Alligator mississippiensis: one gene and its partners. The protein of the gene in region 3 interacts with the protein of the main gene of each other region in a biochemical or structural test. Links are inferred from orthologs where the notes say so. Each region holds a gene or a part of one and is shown on either strand. Other genes may lie near its edges. The genes, in order: HRK, PMAIP1 and BCL2L1.

Region 1 (10,534 bases), on a different chromosome or scaffold from region 3:
GAGCCCGCGGGGCCGAGAGGTCGGTGCAGCCGGCCGGCAGGGCAGGGCGGGGCGGGGCTGAGCAGCGCGGGCGCGCGGCCCGACACGTCCCGCGCCGGCACTGCGGGCGGACCCGCGCGCCGCAGCCTCAGCACTTCGGGACAGAATGTCCTCTCGGAGCTCACACCCCTGCCCCCGCCCCCGCCTCTTGCTACCGCTTCCTCACTGCCCCAGCCCAGGGAAGCGTCAGTGCTTGCCCCTGCCTGCCTGCTGCAGGGGGCTAGGGGAGGGTTGGGCTCAGCTGGGACAAGGGCAGCGGTGCAGGCAGGGAAGGGAGACCCCTCCTGCCCATCGTCGCTGTCGCTGTCCCCTGCTGAGTCCTCTGCTGCACAGCCCCGCTGGAGCAGGCGGAAGCTTCCCCAGCCCCTGCGACAGCAGGCTGGGGAGGAGAGGGGACCTGCCTCCCAGCATGAAGGGGAAGGAGGGGGATCCCTCCCTGCTTTGGGGACTTTAAAAAAGCTCCCAGGGTGCGATCCAATTTGAAAGGGGGGGACAGCCACACCACTGCACCCCTCTGGATCTGCCCTGGCATGCAACATAATGCAGCTCTGATTGCGAATCAAGTAGTAAAACTATAAGCGTATGACATTGGTTCATCAGGGAATGATGGTGGATAAAACCATAAGCAAATAGTTGCTTTCAAACAGGGCAATTGTATAAGCCCTGTCGCTTAAAAATAAGGGACAGAAATTGCTTCTAGTACTCAGTGCTACAGGAAGTTAGGACAGGAAGCTCTCTGTCCTGCATTTCAGGACAGGGCCAGGAAAGGGTCATACACTATTCAGTGTGTCATTCATACAAATAAATTAATTGTAACACTAGTAAGGCAATCAGTGCTATTCACAGAGAATCAGGTCAACCGGGTGCCTCTTTTACCATGTCCTAACTGTGGTGGCAAAGGACACTGCCTTCCTTCCTCATGTGACTGGCCAGAACTTTGTTCTTCATCCTACTGGGTACAGGTGAGACCACAGGGGTCAATCTATTTGTAACTCCCAGCCTTGATTATTGCAACTCATCACTGGAGTAAAGCCAGGGAGCCCCCATGAAAGTTCCAAATGGTACAAATGCAACAACTTGTACGTTTAGAAACACAGGAGATGGTAAATGCACCCCTTCAGTGTTGTGCAGTCTGAACTCTTCTTTCCCCTCCTACGCCAAGGTGTGAAGGATAGCTTAAAATCTCATATTCAAAATGTTTTGTGAGATGGTCTCCTGCTACCTTAGAAAAAAGCCTCTCCCCTCCATGACCCTTTAACATATCATAGAAATTAAAGTCTGCGAGGGACCTCAGAAGATCACTGAGTCCAACCCCTCTTTGCTGGGCAGGAATGGTGCTGAGATCAAATGATCCCAAGCAGGTGTCTGTCCAGTCTCCTCTTGAAGACTTCCAAAGTTGGGGACTGCACCACATCCTTGGGAAGACTATTCCTGATTCTGGCCACCCTTACCATAAACAAGTTCTTCCTTACATCCAACCTGAATCCATCCTCTAACAGTTTATGGCCATTGCTCCTTGTCCTCCCCTGGGGAGCCCTAGTGAACAGTTTTTCTCCCAGCTCCTGATATTCACCCTTTACATACTTTTAGATGGCCACCAAGTCCCCCCTCAGTCTTCTCTTCCTCTGGCTGAACAGTCCCATATCTCTTAGTCTTTCCTTATAAAGTTTGTCCTCCAAGCCCGTAAATCGTTCTTGTGGCCCTTCTCTGGACCCTTTCAAGATTCTCCACATCTTTTTTGAAGCGTGGCGCCCAGAACTGGATGCAATACTCCAGCTGGGGTCTCACCAGTGCTGAGTAGAGAGGAAGTATCACTTCCTTAGCACTGCTTGCAATGTGTCAGCTAATGCAACGTCTAGAACACAGTGGTGGTGGGAGAAAATATTATTGGGGGGGGGGGGGGGGCTGGAGGACCGCCCCTCCCTCGTGCAGGGCTGTTGCGGGGCCAGCATGTGGCAGAGGCACTGGGCATGGCTGTGCAGTGGCAGGGCATGGCAGTGGCACGTGGAGGAAGGGGAAGGAGGGGGATCCTCCTCCTTCCCCTTCCTCCGCAGTGGAGCTGCGTTTGGGGGGAGCTAAGCCCTGTTAGTCCCGGCCTTCTGCTGCCTATGCTAGAACATCTGTGTTTCCTCAGAGCAATCAATTTGCAGAGACTCCTGGAGGCAAGAAATAAAGACCTTCAGATATAATCAGGTTCAGAAATAACAGTAACCATCAGTATCATCAGTTACCTTCAAAGCTATGTTTACACTCCTTTCTTCATCTTTCCTTTGCTTGTTGCTCTCTCACATACACACACATAACACAATAGAGGCACCTATGTATGCCAATATACAACTATAAACTAATGTGGCTATTTATCCTGCAGGCTGGGAATGAAATGAAAGCAAGTTATTTCTATTGTTAGATACTTGGAAGGTGTTCAGATATTTTCATAGATTTCATAGACATTAGGGCTGGAAGGGACCTCAGGAGATCATTGAGTCCAGCCCCTCACCCCAGGGGCAGGAAGTCAGCTGGGGTCACAGGATCCCAGCAAGATAAATGTCCAAATGTCTCTTAAAGAAGTCCAGAGTATGTGCTTGCTCCACCTCTGGTGGCAGTCTGTTCCAGGCCTTGGGGGCTTGGACAGTAAAGAAGTTCTTCCTTATGCCCAGCCTGAAACGGTCTTGGAGGAGTTTGTGACCATTTGACCTTGTCATCCCATGGGGTGCTCTGGTGAACAGATGTTCCCCCAGATCCTGATGTACACCCCTTGTATACTTATAGGCAGCCACCAGGTCCCCCCTGAGCCTGCACTTTTCCAGGCTGAAGAGTCCCTTGGCTCTCAGTCTCTCATCATAAGGCCTGTTCTCCTGCCCTCTGATCATACGCATGGCTCTCCTCTGGTTATTATAGTAATGGGAGTTATATTGGTACCTAAATGGACAGAATAGCCACATGCCTAGTTCAGAGGAGCCAGTGCAATCCTTGAAATACTGGAATAATATGCTCTTTGTGGCCACAGCTACTAAGCAAATGAGGCTCAGATTTCTTACAAGCGATCTCAAGGGTAGCCTGCACATCATCATAATTGGGACAAATTCTATCCTGATGTAAACGAGTGCAGCTACATTGACTTTATTGGGCTTTTCCTCACTTACCTGTGGTTTTTTCCATTTACACACTACAGCAATCTACTTAGAGTACCATAAACATCTGAATAACTGGTCAGGCTACTAGGCCTGTGCAAAGCACTTAGTATTTGCTTTGGATTTGGCCGATTTGGGGCACAGTAATTTGAATCACTGTCCTGAATCGATTTAGCCAAATCTGATTTGGAGATTTGGCTGCTGCTGAATCAATCTAATCTCTGAATCACACAGGTCTCATCCCCCACCCACTTTCCCAGCCCCGTCCGCCCCAGCTCTTTGACAAAAAAAAACCCCACTCACCGGCTGCTGCCAGGCAGGAGGCGATCCCCACTGCCCCATGCCATGTGGGGGCTCTGCCAGAGCCCCCCGCCCTTGGCTCCCCACCTGGCCTAGCTCCCGGCATTTAAAAAAACAAAAACAACTCCCCCCCCCTCCACTCACTGGCTCCTGCCCAGCAGAAGTGATCCCCACTGCCCCACACTGCCCCACCATGAGCCCCCAGAAGCAAGCCCCAAGGCTGCTGCAAGAGCCGGTGAGTCAGGGGTTTTTTTTTTTTTTAAAGGCCTGGGAGCTGAGGCAGCCATGGGGGGTGCTGGGACAGCAGGCGGGGGGCAGAGGCGCTCAGGGGGGCTGGCGGAGCAGGCAGGGGATGGAGCCCGGCAGGGGTCCCCCATGGTTCCCTCCCCCTTCCTCCAACCTCCCCCCCCACCGGCTCCTATTTACCAGCTCCCAGTCCGGGTCGAGCTCCCTGCTGCAGCCAGCGGGGACTACGTGAATCGCCAAAGCTCTCCAAATCTTTTCCAAATAGATTTAGACCTTTTAATTGGTCCCCTGATTCAATTCGGATTTGGAGTTTCGGCCACCGAATCTCCTTCAAATCAAATCAGCACCTGAAGCTTCGCACAGCCCTACAGGCTACCATTGAAGTGAAAAACTTGTTCTCCCTGAATAATAAAAAATATATCTCTGGTCACTGATGGAACCTCCGATTCGAGGAGCAATTGAGGATCAAGGAAGCCCCCTAAAATGCTAATTTTATTGACAAAAGATGGACATCCCTCTCAAACACAGGGGCAGAAACCAACCAGGCCCTGCTCTGTAGGTTTCTTGCCAAACCAGTGGCTTCACCTTCACCCTCCCAGGGGCGGGGTAGGGGGTGTAGCCTCAGCTAGTTCCCTCTTATCCACTGCCTATAATGGCCAGGCAAGACTGAACCATTTAGGTACAAGGATAGTGGACACGGAGCTTTGCGTTTTTTCCGCACTGTTGGTATGTTTTTTATTCACAATGAATTTTCTTTTGAAGGAAACTGGTACCTGGTTCACACATAATTGGGCATAATGTCAAACAGATTTTGGACCTCGCTGCTTCATTTTACTAGCTGAGAGGCCACCTTTCAGGAAGAAGCCTGAGCATCCAAAAGCATATCAAGAATGTCACTGAACAAAATTATCTGTACTTCAGCCACAGATGTGGACATTATACCATCCAGGCACAAAACCACCTGGAAAGAAACGGCCAGGCCAGTCTAAATAGATTATCTTACCTAGAAAGAAGATAACATTTTCCTCATAGAAAAAAAATGCTTTACTCCATGCCAGGTAACAGCAGTTTGGAACAGTGGACTCAGTCCATCCTTGCCCAAGAAGATGCTATTATGGATGAGAATAGGGATGGTCACTCTACTGAGCACCTTGTCCTTCAAGTTTCTTTGAGCAAATGCATCTTTAATGAATGCTGTATTGAGCTATATCGAGCATGATTAACATTACCAAAGGCTAATTTCCTCTCTGCACAATAGAAATCCCTATCATGAAGGAGAGGATGCAATTGTTGACCAGGAACATCGTCATGGGAGAAATCCTCACTGAAATATGGGCCAAGTGTCTAACATTTTGCTTTGGGAAATACAGCTGCTAGGAGCACCGTATATCTGACCATTGCCATGTCCTCTGAAATCATGGGGAAACAACCCAAACAATAAGAAATCCTTGATAAACCTCGGGGACTGATCTCAAATTACACCTGAAGTGCACTTGCTTTAACTTTTAAAACAAAATAAAAATTGTCTTTAAACATTTTTAAACATTTGTTAACATTTGTAAAACAATCATTCTTCACTGGGAATTACAGTAACTCTTTGTGAAGTTGTGTTTAAAAACGTGCAGAGCACTGCTACAAACAAGCCTCTGTCTTTCTCTAGCTCTCCCTGGAGCGGCTGTGCCAGTAAATGCTGTGGCTCCCGTTTGTTCGCATTGGTCAACTGCAGTTGCCGCTGCTTAGTTCTGCTCGATTGGTATCTTAAGCAATTTCTGGTTTTTCTTCTTTGCTGCAGGTTGCTGTCTGTGCATTCTGAAAAACCTAATTAAAAGATAATGAACCAAAAGAACCCAACCAACTCCAGCCCCTTCCCTCCGACACTCGGGATAGATGCCACTTGGATCCCAAAAGGAAGAACTCTCTCAGGAGGAACTCAACTCACACAAACGCTTGATCCGATCTGTACCCCACCCCAATTTTTAGCACTCGGAAAGGCTTCTCTCAGGTTGAGTGCCCTCGTGGCGAATTTCAACCTGTAGCAGTTGTGCGCCCTGCAGTTTACAAACCCATAAGGACCAGAGATTTGCTGCGGAACAGGTAGCAGGAGAAGCGGACCTACAGCAAGGCAATTGCTTCTAGAGGCGGGGGGGGGGGAGAGAGAGATTTTGGCTAAAGATGAGCCCCACTTAGTTGCGTGCATGTGAAGCGGGCTCCGGCCCGCCTAAGGTCCAAGCGCCGAGTGGGCTTGCAGGAGGATGGAGTCCGCCCTCCGGCTGCACGGGGATTGAGCAGCACTTTCTTTAAAAAGTCCCGACCCCTGGGAACGCTGATCCTGCCCAGCAGCTCCGTGTTCAATGAGCTCAAGAAGCATTTGCTCCTTTCCTGTAGTCAGGGGCACGCTCCTAAGACAGGGCAGGACCAGCATCGGTGCGGACTTGGGTACGTGACGGGGCGGTGGCAGCACGGAGGTGAGCGCGGGGTCCGCGCGGAGCAACACCGCGACAGCACGTGTCCTGGGCGCCGCGTCCTGGCCGGCTCGGGGGTGCGGTGGGCCGGCGGGGCGGGGCCCCGGGCTCCTTCGCTCCTCCCTCCGCGCCCCGCGGCCCAGGTGCGGCGGCTGCGGCAGGTCCCGGGCCGGGGGCTGGAGCCGAAGCGGCGGCGCGGAAAGGGTTACGGCCGCCGCCCCGGCGGGGAAGGATGATGTAACCCCCCCGCCCGCCTCCCCTCCCCTCCCCTCCCCTCCCCGCCGCCGCCTCGTCCCTCCCCGCCGCCCGCACAGATCCGCGCCGCGCCGGGCCAGCCGCATGCCTGCCGCCGCGCGGGGCCCGGCCGGGCCGGCCGCCGACATGTGCCCGTGCGCCCTGCGCCGCGCGCCCCCGCCCGCCCTGCCGCCCTGCGCCCCCGCCCCCGCCCGGCCCGCCGAGCCGGCCCCCGGGCCGCAGCGCGTGGCCGCCCGCCTCAAGCGCCTGGGCGACGAGCTGCACGAGCGCACGGCGCGGCGCGGGGCGCGGCGCGGGAAGGCGCCGGCCGCCGGCGGCCTCGCCACCTGCCTCTGCCTGCTCTGCGCCCTGGCGCAGGCGGCCGCGCTGGCCTGGCTGGTCCGCAGGAGGAGCCCCTAGGCGCCGCGGCTCGGGCGGGAGCGGAGACGGAGCGGGACGGGCCACAGGTACGGACGGGACGGGTGGGGGGTGCTGCGGGCGGGCGAGCGGCGCGGTCCAGCCCGGGGCTGCCCTGCCCTGCCCTGCTGTCCCGCACGTCTCGTGCCGCCCGGCTCTGCGCGCGGATCCTCGGCCCCCGCCCTGCCCCGGCCTCGGCGCCGAGAGCCCGGGCCGGGGACGCGTGTGCGCCCAGGATGGGGGAGTCTGTGTGCGAGTGTGTGTTTGAATGTGAACAAGTGTATGAGTGTGTGTTTGAATGTGAGTGTGTGTGTGTGTATCAGTGTGTTTGAATGTGTATCAGTGTGTGTGTGCATGTCTGAATGTGTATCAGTGTGTGTGTGTGTGTGCATGTCTGAATGTGTATCAGTGTGTGTGTGTGTGTATATTTGTGTGTACGAGCGTGTCTGAATGTGTATGAGTGCGAGTGTGTGTATGAGTGGATTTGTGTGTGTGTGAGTGTGTGTATAAGTGGGAATGCATACAGGGGGTCGGACCTCATGATCTGTTTAGGTCCCTTCCGACCCTAAGCACTATGATATTATGATAGTGTGAGTGTGTATGAGTGTGTGTGTGTGTGAGTGCATGTGACAGCTCAGTGCCACTGACAGAGGCTGCCCTGCCAAGTACGAAGTGTTTCCTCTGCCATGTATTTTTTCACAGTTTGCATCAGTTTTTTGCAAGAGCCAAAAACCAAAACAAAAAAAGAGACTGATGAATGCGGTAGAGCTGCTGCCCGGAGCCAAGAGATAGTGTAAAGTCCATTAAATTGCCTCAGAGAACATAATGGGCTTGAGCCCGGTGTCCAACTGCGTTCCACAGAGATTTCCCTTGGGTGGCACCTCGCCTACTGGGAAGTCCCCAAGGATGGAGAGCGCACCCACCCCTGGCCGGCCACTTGCCATGCCCCAGGGCAGCCTTATTGCCTGCTGCCTGCAGCCCTTGTGCAGTGAAGAAACTTCACCTGCTTCATCTCATCTCCTAGGCAACCTGCCGCCTGGCACCGGGTCAGGGGAGCAGTGCTGCTGCCTGCCCCTGGCTTAGGCGTGCGAGTGCGGGCAAGTCCCTTGGCTGGGACTCACTGGTTCATTGCACTCACTGCTGTAGCAATGGCTTGAAAGGTCCTGCCAATAGCTCACGTAGATGTGCTTTCCAGGAACTGTTCGCCTGTGCAGCACTAGCTCTCCTCTTCCTTGGGCTGGGCTGGTCCTGTCTGCACCCGCTGCCGCTTCCTAGGGCACATACATGCGACTCTGTGGCTTCTAAAGCAGCTTTCAGGCACTTACAACAGCAACTAATGCTGTGGCATAGGGGCACTCCTAAACTTAATGCCCTGGGGAGACTGATGGGTGAATGATCTCTCCTGACTGTAGAAGCATTGTGCAGTCTGAGCATGACAGCTCAGTTCCATCAGTTTCACACACTGTAAATCCCAGAGGGTTGCTGCGCGCCTTATTTTGCTGCCGCCTCCTGGGGTTTAAATAGACAGTGCTTACCCAGTACCAAGAACACTGATGCTTTACTAGAAAAAGTAATTCTGAGGGGTCCCCTCCTGCTGTTTTAGGGATCAACTGATTTCTCACATGAAGGAACTTTAGACTTCTGGGATTAAACCCAGTTATTTCTTCTTCCAAAATGTAGAGATTGTCCCTATAAACCAAACCCAGAGAGGTAGAAACCTATCCTGCTGGTAGGACACCACTTTTTCTACAGTCTATCTAGTTTCAATGTTCTAGCTCCTGTGATCGTTGTTATGCTTTCTTAGATATTGTTCTTTATTAAAGAAGCCATCACTAATTATTTTAACATTCAAATGCCAAGTGCCACATGGCTCCTTGGTTGTGACCCATTTCCCTAGCAAACAAAGGAACCTAGTTTCTATTCCTCTCTATGCTGGACTGCAGATATTTTAAATTGTCATCTATATTTTGTGCTTGCATCAGCTGAGTTTAAGACGGTTTTTGCTAAAAATGATCTGCAGTGACAAAGGCAAAGCAATTGGCCATTTAAATTATCTCAGTCATTTTTCAGAGGTAATATTGTATTGAAAGGACAGGAAAAAATTCTCACCTTTTAGATGTTTCACACACACACACACACACACACACACACACACACACACACACACACACACACACACACACACACACACACACTTTTTATATAGCACAGTTCCAGAGGAGAGGGTATTATCTGCCTGAAGGAGTTTACAATTTAAGGCCCCAGTTCCAAGTAGCACGTAAACATACACTTAAAACTGTACATATCAAGGAAAGCACTGTGGTGAATATTTAATTTCTAGCGTAACGGGTTTCAACTTTTTTTCATTCGCGGGCCCCTTTGGAAATTTCCAATGGAGGTGTGGATCCCTTTTGAATTGTAAGTTTGGATATTCACATACTTTTGATTGATCATAGTAATTTTTCATGGACCCCTTTGATAGTCTGTGGACCTGAAGGGGCCCATGGACTGCAAGTTGAAAACCACTGTTTTAGCATATGAGTAAGTTTCATTGACTTTAGTGGTGTAGGTTGTAGCCGTGTTGGTTCAAGGACATAGGCAGACAAGATTAGTTGGGTAAATCCGATATCTTTTATTAGACCAATTCAAATAGTTGGAAAAAATCTTCTTAGATTGACTTCAGTGCTACTTATTTAAGGGCTTAAAGTTAAGTATGTGACAAAGTAGTTTCCTAAATTGGTGCCTTAGTTAAGACAAGAAAAAAAGGGATGGCAGCTCAGGGAGGGGAAGGAAAAGGGACGAAAAATACCATTTTCACCCATTCTGTTGTCTGTTTGTGACTTTTCTGGTCAAATCAAGATTGTGCTTTTTAAGGCAGGATGCCTAGTACATTTTTTAGGTGTTTTGAAATAATAACTAAATATACAATCACTCAAAGAACTTCATCTACAGTGTTTTAAAATAGGGTTTAAAATATATGTGCACGTGTTTACATTGCTTGTACTTGCACACAGACACACACATACCACGTGTATATAACATTGTGTTTGTGTGTGTGGTGTACACTTATATCTGTCTGTAAGTTCAGTCAGTTCATGTCCAGAAGTCTTTCCCTGCAAGCAGAAGACTATACTTCCTAATTTAAGCAGTAAATTCCAAAATATTGGGACTGGTTTGTTCAGGAAGTTGTGAGGATGGTAAGTCACTGAATTCCTAGCTGCTGGATGAGAATGTGATCTAGTGGTTAGAGAACAGTAATGGGAGTCGGGAGTAGATCTGTGTGATCCCACCTCAGCCCCCATCCAGGGTTCAGTTTGAGATGAGGTTCATGAATGCAGAGGTGCAATTTTGTTTACAAGTGTTGGGAAATGAACCAATGTAGATTTGCTTGAATGTTTGAGTTCAACAAACTTGAATCTCTAGGGAACATTTGTCGCATCTCACTTGCCTTTTCCATTATAACAAGACGTAGCAGCTCCCTTTTTATGTTGCAGTGTGGGTTTGTGGAGTTGTTAAGAGTATGTAGATAATATAGTTGTTGTAAGAGGAAGCACTGGGCATGGGAAATATTCATCAGCCTCTTAATTATATCAGTGCTCTCAGTACAAGCTCGCCAGGGCTGTGGGACAAATCGCACCAGACTGTGGACAGAAGGAGCTGTGCTGACTCAAAGTGTTCTCCTCTTCATAAGCAAATATACAAATA
Region 2 (10,542 bases), on a different chromosome or scaffold from region 3:
TTCTGCTCCCTGCGTGCCCCTGCCTGCAGAGCTCATGCCTGTCGCAGGGGCATGTGGGCAGCAGATTGTGACTTTCCTGGGCTCTGGTCCTGGCCCTGGCCCCAACCCCACACTGTCAGTGCCCAGTGACCCTGCCTCATGATCCTGGCCTCCCTTGCCTATCCTCTCACTCCTAAACACTGCTCCCTGCCTGCCCGTGGCCCCATCCCATATAGGGAGTTTATGTGAGTTGTTGGCGGGGGGGGGGGGGGAGGGAGAGGGGGGTGCTGATCCGGCTCTCAACAATTCAGCAAAACTCCCTATATGGCTACGGGCCCAAATAATTGCGCTCCCCTCCTGTAGTGCTTACTCACTGGCAGGTAACCATGCCCACACAGAGACCCTGGCCTGCCAGAACCAGCAGCTTTTGAGGAGGGGGAATCCTTTTAAGTGCCTCCTTCCACTCAAGCACTAGTTCTGGTCCCCTTACCACATCAGCTCCAGACCCAGGACATAAATGAGAGACGAGCTGATTACCCAGGGCCCTTCTTAGTATGTGAACATACCTGGAGTCAGGATTTGGGGGAGGGCGGGGGGGAACCCATTTGGTATTCCTTTGTTATTAAAGTACCCGGGGGGCCTCACTGCACCCTCATGATGAACAACCTGATTTAGCCATCTCCATCCTGTTTGTGACCCCTTTCACACTTTGGCAGGAGCCCAAACCTGAGCTTCCTCCCAGCTGCCTCATACCTGTGTATGTGTTTCTGTCCCCAGTACAAATCTATGTCACAGTGTTAATTGTAGGATGGTTGTATTTCTTATTCTGACAACTCTCAGCTATGGAAGATTATTAGACAGACAGATCCTTTTGGTTGTAATGTACAACTGCTTACCATCCAAGCTAAAGACAATTTACCCCTTAACATGCATGGTAGGGCATCTGACACCTAGCCGAGCAGTTTTGATTCAATCCAGCCAAGAGTGGGGGTGACACACTAACCAGTTTTAAAACTGGTTTCTCCTTTGGAATTCAGATAATTCTTTAAGCTTATAGCTTATGGGCAAGGGATCAGAAATAAAATCCAATATATTTGCAAATCTACTGAAACGTATTACATAACATGAAGCATACCCTTCATTTCCTAGTAAGAGGGATGTTTGCACCTGATTGCTCATTCAAATGGTTCAGAAAATAGAATTACAACAACACAATGTTTTTTGCGTTATAAATACATCAAATTTATTAGCCTTGCAAGAAGTTGGTAGACATAATATCTGAGAGTCAGACAATAAGACATCTTGCTAACTCACAGCATGACTTGAGAAAAATCAATCTCATGTGGATGCAGTTGTAGGACACAACATCAGCAAAAATAACACAAGGACTCCGTGTAGGGAATATATAGATCTCATACAGAGATTACTTATTTGAACTAATTGTCCTGAGCTCACTGTAAACCATATAACAACTAAACCGTCAGCAAGTAAACATGGCAGCATTTCATGAGAAATAACCCGTCATTACAAAGTTAAGTAAGAAATAAGTGCGTTCTCCTAGCTGACAAATTCCCATAACATATCCAAAATCAGTTCCCATAGCTTTATACACTTTTCCTCCTCTTTAATACCTGAAGGTATTGATAGAGACCATTTGAAAGATTGTTCGGTATGTCATGTAACTATATGCTAAATACAATCTCAGAGTATTTGACCTATTAATTCTAATGCTAAATTTCTTGAAATTCCCAGTCGGGCATAACAATTGTGGACTTTGCTGGAGTTTTACCAAAGACTGAACCCCTTAATGTGAATCTAGAGCTTCAACGGCAGTTTTTCTTTTGAATTCAGTTATTCTGAAAGCTAAAAACTAGCCTACCAGGAATTAAAGCTTTAGGATCTAAAAAAATGCTATTAGATGAGTAAATTGGATCACTGGAGAGTTGAGTTGGCCCTGATGTACTAGACTAGAAAGAGTTTGTAATGGAAAACTTCACAAAAACAAACTTTCATGAACAATCATGGGTCAAACTCATCAGTGATTTAGAGAGGAGTTACTTGCATGTGAGAGCCAAGGCAGCCTGAGCTAGATGTGAGTAGTGAATTCCCGGATCTGGCAATCAAAGGATGCACAGCACAAGTGTCATTCGCATCAGAAGCTGAGCAGAATAGGGGAAGCAAGACAGTGAATTCTAGTTCCTTTTCTTCGTACTGCTCCCTTCAGCCAAGAGCAGACACTTTGACATCTCTGAATGTCAAATCCAGGCAGTCTCCAATATTTTGTGCATTATGAGCATTTTCCAAATATCCTATATGAATGTATTTTGGATCATAACATTTAAACAGAAAAGAAAAGTTACTTCCTAATTTCCAAAAGTGCAAAACAAAACATTCCACTGAGGTGAACATAGTAAAGTTTTGGGTTTTTTTTCAGACAAGCACCTTAGTAATACAGTCCCATGTCTGAGGAAAAAATGACAGCCCCTCCATCACTAAAGAAGAGAAATGAGGGTGCTAGTGAATAAAAGCTGAGTTTTTCCTTCTACTTTATCTTCAATCAAAGCTGCTTAGAAGCCCAAACCGGCTACTGTGTAACTCCTATATCATTATCATTCATTTGCATAGACAATTTCTCTTAGAGGTAGTTTTTTTCTTTGGGAAAAAAGTTATTTTCCAGAAAAAATTATTGTTTTGGTTTCAACTTTCTTTCCAAGTTGAGAGTAAACATATATATTTTAAATAAATAATACAATCACAGCTTATTCTGCTCAAGTATCCCTCCTGTGAAGGAATCCTTCCACCAAACATACATCCATAATCTCATTTTTACTAATACACACTTAAACATTCACTTTCTTATTCAGTGATACACTAAATATAAGGTGCCTATTTACTGTCTGAGCAAAGCATGTCATTGTGCTCTGAAGCATGTACTATCTTGGACCTATTTTAACGCATTCTTTACAGAATGATTTAAACAGCCCTCTTCTGCACGGCCAGGCAAAAAATCATGCTGTTAAAATTCACAGAACACTCATTCCATAGCCGTGGGGATGTACCTCGAACATGCACACCAACCGTACAGCAGACTATGATAACAGCAACAATAATAATAACAGAATTACAAATTTAGTCATTCAAGCAATATATTATAACAAGTAACAATTCAGTGGGAACGTATACGTACTTCAGCCAAAAAAAAAAGAAACAGTCCCAACACCAGATTTGTGCACAAATTTTACTTGTTAGAAAATGGGTAGTCAAGAGCCGAGGAACTGGTTCTTCACTGTACAGCCCAGTCTGATGAATAGAAGTCACTAGCGTCCTGCTTCTTGCTTGAGGTGACACAAGCTCAGCAACAGACCATGGCTGCAGGATACAGCGTAGCCAGCAGCAACACAAGAAATCAGGAAACACTGATGAAAACACAAGCGTGTCTTGGCCATTTCCAGGCACCGCTCGCTTCAGTAACGGCAACTGTAATATGCGATTTTTTTTTTTTTCCTTTCCCCCCATATTGGCCACTGCTTCTGCAGAGCTCTCCGGAGAAGTCAGCGGCCTTTCCGCAGGCAGCAACAAACAATACACAGAGCTTAATCTCCCTGGTCTCATTGAAGTTTCTTCTTCCAGCTTTCTAAAGACGAATTCTTCCAAATCTTTGGGTTTCTTCCTGCTGCTTCTCCTTGCCATCATCCTGGGCAGCTTTCACGTTCCAGGGCGGAAAAGTTTTGCAATGAGACTCAAAATCTTCTGGTGCAGGTGCCATTGGTCTCCTATCCGGCGCAGCTGCAGCGCGCACTCTCTCACTGCTTCCCGCTCTGTAAAATAGACGACCAAATGTCATGAGCAGTGACTCCCACGCCCGTCCTCGTGCCAGTGCTCCTCACTCTTTCTAGACCCAAAGCACCCCTCCCTCGGGGGCACAAGCCACCCTCAGAAAACACTGGCTTAGTTTCCCCTCGGGTTTTTGACTAGAGGAGAAGAACAAGAGCCCCCCCCCCAAGGCCAGAGCCGCCTTAACCCAGTGAAGCCCTGCCACCCCAGAGCGGTCCCTGCTGCACCAGGCGGCCTGAGCTGCCGTCCTGAAGCCCCGCGTCCTCGCCTCGCCCCGCCGCGCGGTCCCCGGGTCCCGGGCGCTCGGTACCTGAGGGCTGCGGCGCAGCCTTGCGGCAGGTGCGGCCGGGCATCATGGCTAGGCGCGGGGCGCGGGGCTCGCGTGTCGCTGTCTCTGCCGCTCTGGCCCGTGGCGCGGCGCGCGCAGCGATAAGAGGCGGCGGCGGCGGCGGGGATTCCCGGCAGTGAGGTAGGGAAAGCGCCGGCGCCGCCGCCCAATCCGCGCTGCCGCCCCCGGGGGGAGCCCGGGCAAGCCCGGTCCTGCCCCGGGACCGCCCGCCCGCCCGCACCTGTGTGTGTGTGTGTGTGTGTGTGTGGGGGGGGGGGGTGTACAGTGCACGCGTGTGTGTATGCAGGGGGTGTGTACACTGTGTGTTCATGTGCGAGGGGTGCGTATGTGTGTGTGTACACTGCGTGTGTGTACAGGGGGTGTACACCATGTGTTTCCGTGCGAGGGGTGTGTACATGTGTGTATACACTGTGCATGCATGTGTGTACAGGGGGTGTATACTGCGCTTACATTTGTGCGTGTGCACAGGGGGTGTGTACACTGTTCATGTGCGAGGGGTGTGTATGTATGTGTGTACACTGCGTGTGTGTACAGGGGGTGTACACCGTGTATTTCCATGCCAGGGGTGTGTACATGTGTGTATACACTGTGTGTGCATGTGTGTACAGGGGCGCGCACACAGGGGGTGTGTACACTATTCATGTGCGAGGGCCCTGTACACGTGTGCAAGTGCGAGGGGTGTGTACACTGTGTGTATGCAGGGAGTGTGTACACTGTGTACATGTGTGAATGTGTGCGGGTGTATACACGTGTGTATATGTGTGCGTGCATGCAGGAGGTGTGTACTCATGTGCATGGGGCAGTGTACACGTGTGAACGCATGTGCAGGGGGGTGTACACTGGGGCTGTGTGTTTGTGTGGTTTAGGGGGCGTGAGTTCGGTGGGTGGGTGTCTGTGCACAGTGGCACAGACAGACCCAGGCAGGGTTGTTGTCTTTCCTTGGGCCTTGACCAGAGAGCAGCTGGAGGGCGAGGGCCATCCACGCAGGCCCTGGCGCGGCCGCCTGCCCCTTCCTTCTCTGCCTCAGTGCTGAGTCTGCAGAGCGGTGCCCGGCCGCGGGGCAGGAGGGGTGCATGTCTGGATGCTCGCTCAGTTCTCTGCCTCCCTGAAAAGACTGCAAGGGAGGGCACTTACAGTGGCAGAGCGGTGCCACAGAGGCCTGAGCCGTGGTGAAGAGACAGCACCAGTTTATTTCACAGGAGACCGAGTCTGGGGCTCATGTTCCACCCCCTCCGTTGCTACTGCTTTACCGTGAAGCCTCTGGGGGCTGCTGTCCAGCTCCGCCCTGAGCTGCAGCATTTCCCCAGCGTTCCTCACTTCTCCCTTTGTCCACCTGCACACGTGATTTTCCCTGTTGTTTGGACAGGGCCTAAGCCAAGGTTACCCAGAGAGGTGGTGGACTTTCCATCCTTGGAGGTTTTTAACACACGGTGAGGCAAAGCCTTGGCTGGGATGATCTATTTGGGGACAGTCCTGCTTTGAGCAGGGGGTTGAACTAGATGTGACCTCCTGAGGTCCCTTCCAACCCTCATTTTCTGCGATCCTAAGAGAGATTAAGGCATTGTGCAAGACCAGGGAGGAGGGGCCATTTGGCTTGCCTTGTGGAGTTACATACAGTAGTTGTTGTTATACATTACTATTATTTTGATTAGAAATTAGGGACCAAATCCATTCCTAGTGAAACTCCATCTTCCTGCCCCCTTCATCAGGGAGAAGGGATGGACTTTGCACTATGCCATGAGCCTCTACTGGGCTCTGTCCAAACCTCAGGAGAAGCTGGTTCTGTAGATGGGAAAGTATAAAAGTGGCTGAAGCTGGACAGCTGGGGAAACTTCATTCAGCCCAGACAGATTTCACCTAGTCTTTAATTCAGGGGTGGGCAAAATGTGGCCCAGGGCCCAGATGAGGCCTGCCAGGCCATTCTATCTGGCCCACGGGGCCCCTAAAAAATTTAGAAAATTAATATTAATCTGCCCTGGGCTGCCTGTCATGCGGCCCTTGATGGCTTGCTGAAACTCAGTAAGCGGCCCTCTGCCCAAAACAATTGCCCACCCCTGCTTTAATTAGTAGGTGAAATCTTTCATTCAGGGTCTGAGTTGTAGTAACGGAGTGAATTTTGTAACTAAAACATGTTGAGTACTAAGAGCCATATTTGGCTCAGTGGCCACTTACTCTGTAGCTAGGTAGTCTAGTGCCCTGGCAGAAATTGTTAACTAGAAGGATGGAGGAGGGGGGGCAATGTTTAAGTCTGTTCAGTAGCTTATTGTGCCCTACAGCCTGATTGCTAGTGCTGGGTAAGAGTGTGGGGAGGAATTGGATGAGTCGGTCTGAGCATTTTCACATTTGCATATATATGCTATTATGGCAAGACTTGTATCAGACGGTGGAGATACAGAAAATCCACATTATTTATTTTTGAGATAGCAGTGAGGTTGCTGCTGTCCAACTCCAACAACCACTACCACAGATAGTTTACACCCCGTGGGCCTGATCCCAATACCAGGTCTAGATGGTTGGAACTGCATCTGCAGAGAGGCCCAGTTCATCAGCGATCTGTACAGGCACAGATTCAGCTTTCTTGGATTGTGCTGGGCAAAAAAAACCCCCAAAACAAAGCAAACAGCACACATTTCTCATCATCAGCTGAGTTTTTTCCAATTCTAGCCCCAACAGAACTTTTGTAGAAAACTGACACTCCAGATTTGCATCCAGGGAAATGTGCAGATCTCACCCGAAATATATTCTGTCTTGTATTCCTTAGCGGTAAGCACAACCTGTGATTTCAGGATTCTGTTCCTTTTTTAATCATTTTGATGTTTTGAAATTAGGGTATGATGATTTGGATGAAGCCATAAGGTCACTGTGACAATCCTTTTACTCTTGCACAATTTTAGGATAAAACTGTGTCTGTCTGTGTGAGTCACTAATTTCCCTTCTTTATGATTATTGTGCCTGGAAAATTAGTCAGTCGAGTGTAGAAGTGTGCAAGAAGAACATTTGTTTTTAGGCTAAATACCCAGAAGGAAATGAATACAGATTAACAGAAGAAACAGGGTGGAAGGAGCAGACACACCAAATAACAACAGATAAATTTGTCACTGAAATAAAGTAGCAGAGAAAATAACAGCCACTCCCATCAACACGCAAGCTCTAACGGAAGAAATAAGCTAGAGTATATTTCCATGACAAGAAGTGATAAGCCCTACTCCATGTCATCTGATCCTATGATACCAAATGCCTTGAGATGTTTTAAATGTGGCTATTTGTGCTGGCTCGGGTTTGAGGCCTTCTTGCCTTTTCTACATAATGCACACATCAGGTAAAATCCTTCCCTACTGAACTTGATGGCAAATATTCCAGCAGCCTCGGGAAGATCAAGATCTCAGTTATTGTATTTCCATCTCAGGAACACTCTTGGTTCTTTCATAGTTCCAGCTGCCTTTCAAAAGGCACCAGGAAGAAGACCGTCCATATTGCCCTGGACTGGAGGTGTGGGGAAAGGAGGGAGTGGAGATGAGCTGACCACATGGGGGATTCCAAGGACAATTAGGTTCTTTTAAAAAGATGGAGGTTGAAACTGGAATATGTGCATAGCAGCAGGACCCTTACCATGTCCGAAATTGGCAAACCACTCCATGTGGAGCCCTAGTAGGCTGGCAGGTATATGGGCTATTACGCCCACTCTGTAGCTCCGTGGAGATACTGTTTAGAACCCTGCTCAGGTGCAACCACGACAGTGGACAGTTGTCTCCTTGGGCACTTACTCACATGTGGGGAGCATGCTCCAGCGCACTGGAAATCCAGCACATTGGAGCAGACTCGATTAATTGAGTCTGCTGGAGCACGTAAACTTCATAGATTTCATAGACATTAGGGCTGGAGGGAACCTTGTGAGATCATCAGGTCCAGCCCACTGCCCAAAGGGCAGGAACTCAGCCGGGGTCAAATGACCCCCAGCAAGATAAGCATCCAAACACTTCTTGAACGTGTCCATTGACACGCTCTGACAGCCTTGTACATTATGTGTATCATGTGGTGCCCCACATCACCGTGCTGAGGAAATGGTGGTGGTGCAATAAAACACATTCGATGTGCTTTAATTAAAAACACAACACTGCCATTTTCTCAGCACGGGGATGCACTGTGCTGCTGATACACATGACAGGTGGGGGGCATTTAATTGGCATGGCTTCCTAATTAAAACTGCCCGGTGCCACATTGGAAATGCATGGAAAAACACCCCTTGTGTTCAGTTTCCCCTTCCCACCTCCATCTGAGGTCTGCTCGTCACGGCATAGAAGTTCACTCTGTGCTGATAGGACTGCCTTTACCAATATTCAGAAATAGCTTCTGGGACTTTAATGCAAGACAAGAAGCAGACCAAGGGGGGGGGGCTAAGGATTATAACTAGAAAGATCTTTTATTTAACCCTCCTTTGAAAATGAAATTTCACTGGGTGGATTATCTGTCTTGGATTTAGAGGGCTGGCTCTTGTTTCATTGTCTGTCTGTCAGTCTGATTTTATACTGGCACCCGTGATTATGGTGTCTGAGTATGTTCACAATAAAGTTGATTGACAATAGAAAAGTTGTCAGACTGAATCCTGTGTCACTTCACTTACCCGAAGGGCATGTCTAGCCACCTCACTGCAGTTTTTGGCATTTACACACACTTTGGGAGTCTGCTTCCCTTGTGGCAAAATAAGATTGTCCTGTGTGTGCGTCCTGAAAATGAAAGAGCAGGAGGAGCAGGTTGCCCTCCCATCCCTCTTCCCAATGGCTAGGGCACATAATGAGGGAGGAGAGACCTGGGTGCTAGGCCCCCTCACCTGAAAAGGGGTTGAAATCATATCTCTTGCTTTCTAGCAAAATGATCTCACCACCAGGCTAGGTTCAAGCATTGCCCAGGCTCCTTTCCTGTGCTCCTCTTGAAGCTGGCTCACTGCATTTTGCATTTCATATTGATCGGCTAAAATGGATGAACAGCACTGGGATAGCTTCTGTGGCTACAATTTAGTCATGTACAGAGAAACGGAATTGAGTCCATGGAGTCTCTAACTCCTCCCATTTTTACAAAATATAAAAACCTCTCTTTGGGGCAGGGTCATTTCCTTAGTACATTTTAGCAGGTACCTACCATTGGTACCTCCAGTCTGATGTCCTTTTGAAACAGTCATGCAGTAATCATTAGTGCTGCAGACATGAATGTTCCTTCCTCACTTTTGTCCAATAAACCCATTCTTCTTTGTTTTTTCATATGGCATCAAATATCAACTTCCAAATCTATTAGTCACTGTCTGGCATTATCGCTCCATGTGTGGACTCCAGTAACCACGTTGAACACACCAGTTATTTGCTTGCCACTTTCATTTCTAGAGGGATTTAATTTACAGCAGGCTGTTCTTTTGAATGTTATGACTCTTGTTAGCAAACAGCCTGGTTCTTTATGACTGAGAGTTGAAGTTGCAGAAGCTGGTAAACCTGACAGACTACTTAGTAGCATATCAGAACAGGTGATGTGCCTGGTTGCTGACAGCATATCTGTTGTTATGGTCTGAAGCACACGGATTCATAGGGTTATATTTCAAAGGGATTGTGTGGGTTGGGTGAAGAATGACAGCTTCTCTGTAAATAATGATGCCTTTTCTTGAACTTTGCAGTAGGGCCAGGTGTATTAACACATACATCTCTGCTTACCTATCTGTGCTGCATCTAGAAGCTCCAACCACAGAGAAAGCAGACATGGACTCAAGCAGCAGGGAAAAAAGGGCAATATTGGCTTATCTTGCCCCCAAAACCATTTCCCAGCCCCCTTCACAAAATGACATGCAACTAATGCAACATGAAAAAGGAGTGGGCAGGAGAGAGGGAGGAAGCAGGGTGAAGGTGTAAGAAGTGGCATGGTCTCCTCACACCAAGGGTGAGCATGTGGATGGTTAGATGGTGTCTTCTGCGGTCCAGCCTCACCAAAGGGGTACGCTAATGCACCTGATAGCATAGCGACTGACACAGTTGTACTGCCCTAACTGATACAAAGGCCAGAGAAGGGTGAAGCAGGGCAGTCCCGCTGCATTGCTCTCTATGACCCACAGTACTGGGGACTTGGATGCTTTGCGGCTGCTCTCGACTGGGCCCAGGGCTGTTTGGAGCCTCCCCCTGGTTGTGTGGGTTGGGCGGGACGGGGCCAACACTGTCATCCCCTGACTCGGGCAGAGCCCTGGGAAGCTTATGTTTGTTTGTTCCCTTCTGTCGAGTCAGACACAAAATGGGGATGTTTTGGCCACAGTATTTACCTCATCTTTTTCCTGGTACGAAGGACATTGAGTATAATATAAACTATTTCACATTTACCCAAGCTTCCTTTGAGATCAAGATTAAGTT
Region 3 (11,205 bases):
CAGTCAGTCTCCCCTCCCAACAACCCAAAAATAGATAGCCCTGACATCTCATGCTCTGTAAATCAAGTTTTATACTACACGAAGTCAGGGTGTTCTAAAAATAGATATTCAAGCCCCAAACATATCATTTTAGCCAGTCTAGCCAATACACTGTCACAGAAATAGGCATTTCCTTGGGTTTTCAAAGCCTTCAGTGGCCAATGATATCAGTGCTATTTATACACCATTTACCCGAGAAACTTGGTCCAGGTAAAGCAGACGTCCGCTAGCTGTCACAACTCCAGACCCTTGTCTAAGGGATACGAAGCAGCCGCGCTAGCGCAGGGCTACACGACCCGGTGAGATTACGCGCCTGTCAATAAAGGCACGCCTGTCAACGTGGCTCCCTCGTTTTACATTTAGGAGGCATCACAACATGCGCAGGCGGGGGGCAGGCAGACGGCAGGCGCGGCGCTATTAAGCCGATTGTAAGCAACTTTGAGAAGCTGAAGAACTCTCGCTCGCCACGTTTCCCGGCTCCTCGTTTCGCTAGGAAACATTAATCTCTTGGCATTAAAGCACGCCCTCACAGAGACACGCGATTTTTGACAGAGTTTGGATTCCAAGCACGGCTGTTTTATTGTTTAAAACGACGTGCTCGCGTGGCGCAGTCGCAACAGCCGTGGGCCTTTTAACGAAACCTGTAGCCGAAGGGGGGGAAAGGCGGCGAGCAGATAACCCGTGCAGTACAGCGGGTTCGCACAAGCGTAGGGCTGGAAGGGCCCTCGCGAGATCGTCGGGTCCGGGGCAGGAAGGGCTGTGGGGGGTCAAACAACCCCACGCGGCGCGCGCCCCATCTCCCAGGTTGCTGCCCGCGAGCCTATTGCGGAGTCTGGGCACACGAACCGTGAAGACGTTTTTCCTTGTATCCAGTGCGAAACCTCCTCCCAGGGCTCGCGGCGAGCAGCGGGCACTGCCAACGGCGCCACCCGCACCCCCAAACCCGGCAGAGCCCAGAGACAGCCCCCCAGAGGGGCGAAAGACGCGTCACTGTCGGGGTGACCGAGGGGCGCAGGTCACCCCGGGAGGCCTGGCCTCTGGACGATGCCCGGCTCGGGCAACATTTCCACCGGGCCTTCCTTTTGGCGGCGTCTCGTCGTTTCTTTGCCTCGGGCTGAAAATGGCAAGCGCCCATCCTTGGTCGCCGCTCTCTCGGGGGCGCGGGAGACCGCTCGCTGCCAGCCGTTTCTGCGACGCCTCAACGCAAACGGCCCCCCGGTGTTTTTCGGCCCGGTTTCCCAGGTGCGACACGAACCAGGCCTCAAGTGCTGAGTTCCAGAAGCGGGGGGAGGCGGGGTGTTTAAGGGACTCCTGGAGCTACCATTTATGGGGCAAAGCGCCGGCCAACAGCCCCTGCGAGCGCCTGTGCAGGGAGCGGGGCGCCCTGCGGACCCCGCGCCCCAGGGGACGCTCGGGGGCTTCGCGCGACCCCTTTTCGCCCCTCCTGGCTCGCCGTCGCCCCCTCTCGGCTCGCTGTAGACTCCTCCGCGGCGAGCCCGGCCCGGGGACGCGGCCCCTCCCGCCGCCGCCGCCGAGCACCGGCAACCCCCCACGGGAGACATCAAGTGTGACCCGGTTTCGCAGCCCTCCCGCCCGGCTCACCTCAGGCCCGCGGCCGCGCCGCTCACCGCGCTCTCTCGCTGCCGCCACCGCCGCCGTTAACGACTTTGAAACATGGCTCCCTCGTTCAAACCCACCAATCAGCGGAGCCCGGCCGCGCCGGTTGGGCCAACCGCCGCCGGGGGGCGGGGAGAGGCCCGGGCCCCCGGATGAAAACAACCCGCCCCCTCCGCTCTCCCCGGAAGCCAGCCGCGAGCGCTGAGGCTGCTGGGATATGTAGTGTGCCTGACTCGAGGCGGCCTGCAGGGAGAGGAGCGGAGACACTACAACTCCCAGAAGGCACCACCAAGCGGAGGAAAAGGAGCGTTCACTAATGGCAGCAGCTGGCCAATCAGTGCTGAGAGGGGGCGGGGCTTCGCTTCCCACCAGCTTTCGGGGGGGGGGGGGGAGGTATTGAAGATGCTGGACTAGTCCATTGTGCAGCTGATGGGGGCGGGGTGCGGACAGACCACAGGGCTTCGCATCTTTTGTGTCCTGTTATTTCCTTCCCGTCCCTTATTTTGTGGGTGTGACATGCGCGCACCTACAGACCCGGGGGAAGGGGCTGCTGCCAGCCCCCCTTGCCTCCCCCACTGCGAGGTGGTATGTTCCCCCTCTCCAGGGTGCAAAGTTGCACGCACCCCAGTTACCCCCCAGCCCCTGGGGTCTCTCCTCCCAGTGCCTCCATGCACAGGTAACTGCATTGCACGCACTGGCAAGCAATCTCCAGGGCAGGCATCACCCCAGGGGCTAGCAAAACCCCACCACGTTGAGCAGCTTTTTTTGACACTCCAAGAACATGAAGCCAGAGCCTTTCAGGATGCTAAAGCTGGGGTGCAGACTCACCCGCACAAGAAAACCTCAGTCTATTCAACAAGAGCACTGGAGAGAAAGAGACTGGCTAGCTGTCACTTGGTACCTCGAACCCTACAGAAGCAGTGAGCATATGCAGCGGCCTTGCGGGCCCCTAGCAATGGGATAAAGTTCAAGGCTTCTCTCCCTGTTTGCCATGACTCAGCAAGAATTGGTTTGGCAAAAATAAAGTGTTTTTCAAGGCTGGTGGAGTCACAAATGAACCATATCCCCAGAGGCAGTGCAATGCAGTCCCACAACTCATTATCCCAATGCAGGAGCTGCAAACACGCACCATGCTTTGGTCAAACTGATTTACTAGCAGTAGCTCAAAGTTGCAGAAAGTAGGTTCAGATTGCACATTGGGAGAAACTTCTTCACAGTTGGGAGAAAGACTGTGGAGTGGACTAACTGCCTAGGAAGGTCTTGCAGAATCTCCATCCTTGGAGGCTTTCAAGAGGCTGGAGAAGCTATGCCAGGAGTGCGCTCTAAAGAGCAAATTTGGAAGACCAGGAACCCTGGTTGGGGTATCGCGAGAAGGGCTCTGCAGTCCAGAGCATATGGGTACTGGAGAAGACCAGCGAGCCAAGAGCCTCTTCCCTTCCACTTCGGTTCAGCTATTTGTATACAGGTGTCTACTGGGGAAGGGAGGAGGCTCTCTGTTCGCTAGCAAGAGAATGAAGCAGAACTCCAGAACGGGCTTAGCGATAAAAATTGATAGAGCTGGAATAAGTTTATGGAGAAGACGGGGTCATGGAAAGGAGAGTTCTAGCTGCAACATGTGTGGGGTTTGCTGTCCCCAGTTGCTGAGCAGAGTGGATGGGGGTGTTTTCTCCAGGCTTCTGGGCTTTGCTGGTTGCCACACAGGGCCAGGAAGGATTATTTTTCCTTTCCCCCCTGTCCTGTGTTGGGCAGGGACTGCCTTCCTCAGCCACACTGGATGCTGGCTACAGTAGTAGGACACTGGCAGTGCATTACCTGTGGCAAATTACAGTTTGGGGGCAATATACCTTGTAGTTTTGTGACAGGGTTGTTTGTGTAATTTTAAGAACAAGCTAGGCAAGCACTTGTCTAGGTTGGGTCAGAAAGAGATGATCCTGCCTTGAGCAGTAGACGACATCCTGAGGACCTTTCCAATCTATTTTTCTAGGATTCCATGACTTGCACAGAAACATTTGGGGGAAAAGTGCCCAACAAGATTCTTTGCATTGCCACACTGCCCAAGAGCAGAGACAGAACAACAGCATTTCAAAGCTTCACCCTGAAATTGCTGCTTAAAAGGAGCATTAGTATCGTGCTTTCAGGGCAATTTGACAAGTCATTCTGGAGACTCACATTCCTCCTAACCACTAAATATTCATTCCTACCCAGCTGTAAGGTATACTTTTAAGATACTTAAAGGTAAAAAACAAACAAACAAACAACCCAAAACAAAACCATTGCCAATGATTTAATTTTTAAGACTATTTTAAGGACTCAGTTCTCCCCACCTTGCAGCTCCCAGTCTGATTTATTCCTGTGTAGAGCAGTTGAAAACAGTAGCAAATCAGAACAGTTACTCAATCACAAGATTACACAGTCACACACAAAAGCCAAAACAAAGCCAGATGGCTCAATTATAACAACTGCATTAATGTCCTGTTTTGCAGGCAGCAAGAATTTCAGATGGTAGCGCACAATCACCACTGCGAATTTACAGAATCACAGAACTCAAATGGTAAATTAAGGACCATTACTTAATGGCTTGCTTTATTCTTCTAATTCTTGTTTGGAAGACTAGGTGCTACACCAGTTAAAACAGATCATACTTCATGCCAAATGGGAAGTATGCATTCACAACAAAAAAAAAGCACAAAAAGTCACAAATAGTAACTTTTGAGCATGACTGTTCTTATATTGTTCTTTATATAATATACTAAGAATATACCTGTTCTCTAAAGCAGCATTTTCAAAATATAGGGCAAGCACCCTGAAAAGTTCCTGGAAGGCAGGACCAGAGTTTAACAGAAAGCAAACAAACAAGCAAAATATGACTCGACAGCACTGAACAAAAACTGTCAGCTAAAGGTGATGGTAAGGAGAGAAGTGGCCAGCTTTGCTGTAATGCAGCATGGACCCCAGAAGTTTGGGAAATGCTGCTCTACAGAAGTCCTACCGTAGTGGACACCAGTGCAGGTCTATAAGGGATGCCACTCAATGGACTCCATGAGGATGAAGAACCCCCGATCTTGGTTACACCCGTCTCCATCACCTCTCTCTAGCCTACAGCAACACAGTACACCTGGCAGGAAGCCATCAGCTCTTAGGAACTCCAGCCAGCAAAGAACAGGTTTCTCCTTGTCATGAAGGCCTATGTGAACACACCCATCCTGCCCTGCCCTTTCTGCATTGGCTTCCCGGGGTAGAGCAGTGCCAGGCTCACCATCACAGCTGTTCAACAGTGGAGTTGTTAGCTGTGTGCTCTAGGTGATCTTTAGATGTGCCACAACTCCTCTGCTTGGAGTTTCTCACCAATAGGGTCCAGCACACTCATGCAGGACACAGCACTCCCCCAGGACCCAACTGAAGGGTAGGCAGATGTGTCCAGAACCAAGGCCCACTCCAAGCCCCCTGTCCTTCTCCCCATTTGTGTCTACAGTGACCACTGACTCTCCCTATGCCTGAAGGAGGATATTGGTACCCAAAAGCTTACAAAGAACATTTTTTCCAGCTATTTAGTTGTTCTAAGGAAAGATATCGCATGTACCCAAAGAACTTTGTTTTTCAGTCCCCATACAGACACCATGCAGCTTACACACTAGAAACCAAAGCAGTCCTACCCTGCCACTGCATTGCACACGCTTCACCCTGGGGCCAGGGGGAGGAGAGAAAAGCAGAGCAGCCCATGACACACGTTGCTCAGAGAATGCCAAAGTGAGCAGGGCACCAGGGCAAATGCACAGCACCTTGATGCACCCTGGGGTAAGGCCAGAAAGGGGATGGGTACAGATTATGGTGGGGTGGGGGGAGGGGGGGTCCTGCAGCTCCCTGCCACCCAGGCCAGGAAGGGGATGGGTGAAGATTATGGTGGTCTGGGGGGGGGGGGGGGGGGGGGGAGGGCAGTTCTGCAGCCTCCTGAGCCTGACCGAGCGTCTCTACCCCTCCCTTTCTCCCCTCCCCACCCAACAGCATAAGAAGGACGCGGGCCCTTTAACACCAACCCGCCCATTCCCCAGTGCAGCCGAGAGGGGGCGCCAAAGCCCTACGCTCTGACGTAGCCAACGTCCTGCACATGCTCACTGGGTCAACAACGCCCCCACCCCCTTCTTGCGCATGCGCCACTACTCACCCTCCTACCCCGCCCCGGAGTGGCGCATGCGCCCTCGGGGCCCCAAGCCGGCACGGCCCTCGCGCATGCGCACTCCCCTCCCTCAGCCGCTGAGGAGAGCGGCTGCCGCTGAACGGGCGATGGAGACGGCGGCTGGGGGCCGCTGAGGCGGCTCGGGGCCCTGAGGGGCGGCCGTAGCGCCCGCTTCCGCCGGGGGAGGGAAGGGGTAGGGGCTGGGCCCTTCAACGGCCTTTCAGGTGAGGGCGGCGTGACGGACACGGAGGGCAGCCAATGGGAGCGCGCCGTCCGCGGGTCCCCGCCCCCCCGGCCGCCTCCCTGCCTGGGATTGGTGCGGAGGCGGGGCACAGTAGTTCCCCAGCCACGCGAACGGGGATGTCAACCCCAGCAGGACCCCCTGGCTGGTTGCCATGGAGACTGGGGGGGGCGCCCCCTGGGCACCCACACCAGGCCACGGTGCCCTCTCCTTCCAGCGTGTGGCGGCCGTGGGCTGTCCTCGTAGCCTCCGCTCCGGGACAAGTCTGCGCCACGGGCGGCTCACGAAACCCCCGACTCACCCTCCTGGGTGGGCAGCGGAGGGCGCCGCGAAACCCCGGCTCGCGCAATGCGAAAGGGCCCCACAGCGCGGGCGCTTCGCACCGTCTTCGGACACCTGAACGTCGCTCCACGAAGAGCGGACTGGAGCCCGACTCCCTTGGAGGTCGCGTCTCCGCCTGCACCCGAGGGACGCCGCAGAGCCCCAGGGAAACTCCGCCGTCTCGGTCCCCGGTGGGAACGTCCCAGCAGGGGAAGCGAGAGCAAGGCTGAGCTGGCACGGTTTCAGCGGGTGTTGGGAAATCCCACCTGGGCTGACAGAGGTCGAAAAATCTCTCAAGATTCCCCTATACGAATAGCCGAACCAACTGCATGGTCTTTTAAGGCAAGCCTTAGTTTTGTATCTGCCACCCTGGCGCTGCGGTGAGGAGCCTTCCAGGGGTGCCCTAGAGAGGGAGAAGCGCTGGCATGTATTGAGTTCCTCCCAACATCTGCCCTTTAGCAGAGATGAGTAGGGAGGGACTTGGAGAGGGTGGGGGCGGGGCTTGTGCCTTGGGGGCGGGGAAGGGAGTAGGCTCTCTGTGTCAAATTACTAATTTGAAGTGTCTCTGCAGCTGGTCCAGGAGGCGCAGCCTGCTGAGATTTCCCAGCCCAGAGTTTTCTCCCTGCAGCTCCTCTCTGGGGGTGAGTACAGAAACACACATGCTCCTTCCCCAGCACGAATCCAGAGAGCCTGTGTGTCTGTCCCTGGTGCACCCGGAAAGGGCGAGGTGGGGCCACCCGGCGTGTCCTCTGCCCCCAGGCCTGAGCATGGGGTGGAAATGGGGCAGAGAGCAGCTGCTTCCAGTGCAAACACAGAAGTGAGGACAATCCTGTAAACAAGGAGTGCTGAGATGCAGGCAAAGCCAGTGCAGAGGCTGCCGGTCCAGTGCATGCTCTGTGGGGAGGGAGCTCTTAGCTCTGAAACAGTAAGGTTTGTTAATAATCTGGTTCCAGAAAAATGACTGCTTAGAATAACATTAGGGGTAAGTCACTTCTCCACTACAGAGAGTGTCTGTGGTGTACTGGGAAAAGAACGTATCTAGGACACACTTCCTCAGGGGCATTTCTGCTCCTCTCTTATGCCAGCGTAAGTCTCTGGAATGCTGGGGTTTCCCTCAAAATGCTGCTGGGCGTTAGATCTTGTCTTTCCTTATCTGTGAGTGTACATGTTCCTCCTCCTACTGACCTATTAACTATGTAGGTAAGTAATACTCTGTAGATTAATAGGCTTCTAGTTTTTCCCAACTTCTTAGGAGCACTACAGCTCTTTTGTGTTCCTTCCTTTGCCACTGTTCTTGAGAGGAGAGGTTTGGGGAGTGAGCCTGTAGCTCCTGGGATCCCACTGAAATGCAAGGGGTCCATTGTAACACTTCCCGAGGTCTGGCCAGAGGAACTGCGTACCTTCAGCACACCTGGGAGCTGGTGAAACTTGACCCGGGGCTAATCCTTTCCAGAAGGGAAAATGGAAAATGATGCTTTAAGCTTCAAACAAACTCCCTTGTGCTGGCTGCCAGCTGCTATTGTTTCAGAGCCTCCTTCATTGTTGGGAAGAGCTTTATGATAGGTGTAAGAGGGGGCCTCATTGTTCTTTTAATGTGCCATTGTTGGTCAATAGAGCACAAGCACATATTTTGAAGGCCTCACCCAGTGCTGGTCCCTTTAAAAAATTCAGGAAGAGCTTTGATCCTCTATGGGAGGCGGAGACCGAGGGGGCGTGAGGCTGAGAGGGAAGGAGGGAGGGCCTTTTGCTTCTCTGCTGCAGAGCTGCAGCACTCAATCAAGGTAATGGAGGAATAGGCAGAGGGTGAGATCCTGGGGCTTCAGGGCCTCGCTGTGCTTTCGTGTTTCCAGCATGCAGCATGGCATGATCACTTCAGCCAGAGCTGCTTTTCCTTCTGAGGCTTTGCCTGAGACAAGGCAGAGCTGGAGGCTGGAGACTGAGCCTCCTAGACCTTTAGCAGAGGGGGTAGACCCCCTAGACCCTATGTGGAGCTACATCACAAAGGAGCTCTCAAGCTGTACCTGGACCATGTAAGGCGGCTGAATGGGATGTGTTGCGCATGCATGCGACTTGCAGTCGTTTGTAAAGCAAATCCAAGGGGGCTTAGCCTAGTTGTTGCTGAAATGGATGTTTTGCTGCCAGTTTTCTGGGCGACTAAATCCTGAAGCCTGAGGTGTAGCTTCAAGGATGCTTGCTTTCTCTGAGCAGTAAGAAGCTGCTGTTGTTAATGCTACAAGTGGAAGTAAAATGCTGCATTGCTAATATGTTCTTGCCTCTTTTTCTTCCCTGCTCTCTAATTGTCTGCTCAGAGGTCAGATGCTTGCACAGATCCTGGAGAAAAGGAGAGTCTGGACTGGGTAAGCACACTGGTGTTCTGGACCATGGACTCGATGAGAATCTCCCTAGTGTGAAAATGTCGAGCAGCAACCGGGAATTAGTGATTGACTTTATATCCTACAAGCTGTCACAGCGAGGACACAGCTGGAGTCAGCTTGAGGGGCAGGATGAGACCAGGACTGAGTTTGCAGGAGAGGAGGACATGGCAAGTGTCCCGAACGGGAGTCCGTCCTGGCATCCCGCTGCCAGCCACGTAGTGAATGGGGCTGCTGGACACAGGAACAACCTGGAAGCCCAGGAGAGTGTTCCGGCGGCTGAAGTGCGGCAGGCGCTAAGGGAGGCGGGAGACGAGTTTGAGCTGAGGTACCGCAGGGCCTTCAGTGACCTCACATCCCAGCTCCACATCACCCCTGGCACAGCATACCAGAGCTTCGAGCAGGTGGTGAATGAACTGTTCCGGGATGGAGTGAACTGGGGGCGCATCGTGGCCTTTTTCTCCTTCGGAGGGGCCTTGTGTGTGGAGAGCGTCGACAAGGAAATGCAGGTGCTGGTTGGACGTATTGTCTCGTGGATGACCACCTACCTGACCGACCACCTCGACCCCTGGATCCAGGAGAACGGCGGTTGGGTAAGAAGCTCCTTCTCCAAGGGAGAGCTCCCCATTCTCCTCTGCCTTGCTAACAGCATTGCACATCCTAGCCCTTGTCCCTGGTGCCCAGGGTGGAACAACTGGTGCAGGGCCTTTCCCATTGTGTTCTTTGCTATGAAGGGTCACTCCATTGTGGTGGAGCAAGGGGATGCTACCCAGGCTTGCCCTCTGGTGGGCCCTTTTCATCCCGCTGTCTTGCCTATCTCCTTGGCCATTCTGTACAAAGGCCTGTTTCCCAGAGCCTTGTGCACCTACAATCCAGGCTTTGTCTGAAACAGAAGGCCCATCTCTTAGGTCTGACCTGGAGTGTCCGTGACCCAGCCCAGGGCTGAGCCAATTCTTTGTTCAGTTGGGACCTCTTAGTGCTAGGCCTGGACTGTTTGGTGTGGTGAGGTCTGAGGCAATGGAAACGGGAATCCCTGGTCTGCTTCATTTGCAAGTGAAGTGTGCTAGAGATTGTCCTGCTTCCTGTGGGCCTCTGCATTACCTGGCAGCCTGGCCCTAGATCAGCAGAGCGTTGCAAGGTAGCACTGAAGTGCAGAGTCAGTGCAAACAGCCTGCTGCTGCCCGCTGGATCCTGAGCAGTGTACGCAGGGTGCTGTCCACAGGCTTGTATGAATGTTACTGCGTGTTCCAGAGACATGCTCTGGTAGCGTCTGGGCTGCCTGAGTTGTGGAAGTGCTTAGGCCTGTGAGATTTTGCTGTGGAATTTTGCCAGGGGGAGGTATTATGGTCTGCGGATGATCTTGCTCACTATTTACTCCCACGTCCCTGTGATGTTGCCTGTATTAGTATTTGCCGAGAAGGGAGGACACAGCGCCAGCTCCTGGCATTTAAATAGAGGAATATCACACCTTTGCACATTGGTGAGCCTGTGGCAGTGGGGAAAAGCTGCATTCACCTTAACACCTCTGTAGCCATAACCACTAATCCCTCCCCAAAGCTCTGGGGGAGCATGGGGACTAGTTCCTTTCAGCCCAGCCTCGCATTCTGGCTGCTAGTGGCACAGGTGACTTGGAAGGGCCTCTTGGAGCTTGTGGAAAGCCAGTGTTAGGTCCAGCACCAGGGTGGAGGCAGCAGGGAGCCTGAGCACCCAGGGCCAGGAATGCCTGGAATGTGGTTGTCCTGGGGCCGCTGCCTGGGGCGTGGCTGCCTGAACAGACTGGATTTTTTTCCAGTTACAAGCAGCCCCCTTGTTTTGTGGATGGCGCTGGGGTTCTTCCCTGCTTTGCAACCCCCATGCAAGCAATACCCCCCACCAGCTTTGGCTCTTAATGCCAGAGATTAGTCCTAGAACCGAGAGCTTGAGTAGAGGTTTGCGAGTCCATGTGGCTGCTGCTGGTGAGGATTGGGTTGTAGCCTGGAGACACTGGAGATAATGCAGTCTGATTTTTTTGTAAGTGAACTCCCTGGGGATTTAGATTAAATCACTGATGGAAAATCACTGGTCCCTCTTGTTGGGAATGTAATACCCTTTCCTCCACCCCCCTCTCCCCTTTCCCCCAACCTAGTATCATTGCTAAGGCTCTTTCTTCTTGTCTGAGCACAGATTCCGTGTTTGGAGCAAATATTTGTTTAGCAGATTGCACGAGGGGCAGGATTCTTGTGTGCCTGACACACCCACTGGTTCCTGCTCTTCAGATCTCCAGCCATCTCCCAGCAGGAGAAACAGCTTTTCTCTGTGCTGCTAGCTTCCTGGGGTGGGTTTGACTGTGTTAGCTGGGTGGTACCATTAGTTGCCAGCTGGTCAGATGGTGTCATACAGGCAGCAGTGTTTCGGCTGTTTGTAAGGTGTGTCAGGCTGCCAGCTGTGGGTTGCAGCCCTAG

The links.
Region 1: the proteins of BCL2L1 (region 3) and HRK interact in a biophysical measurement, tested with the Homo sapiens proteins (3 studies listed by BioGRID and IntAct, with this or other methods). The link is inferred for Alligator mississippiensis from reciprocal best matches to the Homo sapiens genes BCL2L1 and HRK.
Region 2: the proteins of BCL2L1 (region 3) and PMAIP1 interact in a biophysical measurement, tested with the Homo sapiens proteins (3 studies listed by BioGRID and IntAct, with this or other methods). The link is inferred for Alligator mississippiensis from reciprocal best matches to the Homo sapiens genes BCL2L1 and PMAIP1.

Annotation. Positions count from the first base shown.
Region 1 is NC_081833.1:23,411,354-23,421,887, forward strand, and holds the start of HRK (activator of apoptosis harakiri), read left to right. Parts: upstream 1-6,291; 5' UTR 6,292-6,517; coding exon 6,518-6,832; 3' UTR 6,833-6,879; intron 6,880-10,534. UniProt on the Homo sapiens protein: Promotes apoptosis.
Region 2 is NC_081826.1:281,969,089-281,979,630, forward strand, and holds PMAIP1 (phorbol-12-myristate-13-acetate-induced protein 1), read right to left. Parts: upstream 4,277-10,542; 5' UTR 4,170-4,276; coding exon 4,124-4,169; intron 3,798-4,123; coding exon 3,685-3,797; 3' UTR 1,203-3,684; downstream 1-1,202. UniProt on the Homo sapiens protein: Promotes activation of caspases and apoptosis. Promotes mitochondrial membrane changes and efflux of apoptogenic proteins from the mitochondria. Contributes to p53/TP53-dependent apoptosis after radiation exposure. Promotes proteasomal degradation of MCL1.
Region 3 is NC_081832.1:1,641,275-1,652,479, forward strand, and holds the start of BCL2L1 (bcl-2-like protein 1), read left to right. Parts: upstream 1-5,967; 5' UTR 5,968-6,054; intron 6,055-6,963; 5' UTR 6,964-7,033; intron 7,034-8,088; exon of another isoform or gene 8,089-8,173; intron 8,174-8,201; exon of another isoform or gene 8,202-8,422; intron 8,423-8,701; 5' UTR 8,702-8,805; coding exon 8,806-9,357; intron 9,358-11,205. UniProt on the Homo sapiens protein: Potent inhibitor of cell death. Inhibits activation of caspases. Appears to regulate cell death by blocking the voltage-dependent anion channel (VDAC) by binding to it and preventing the release of the caspase activator, CYC1, from the mitochondrial membrane.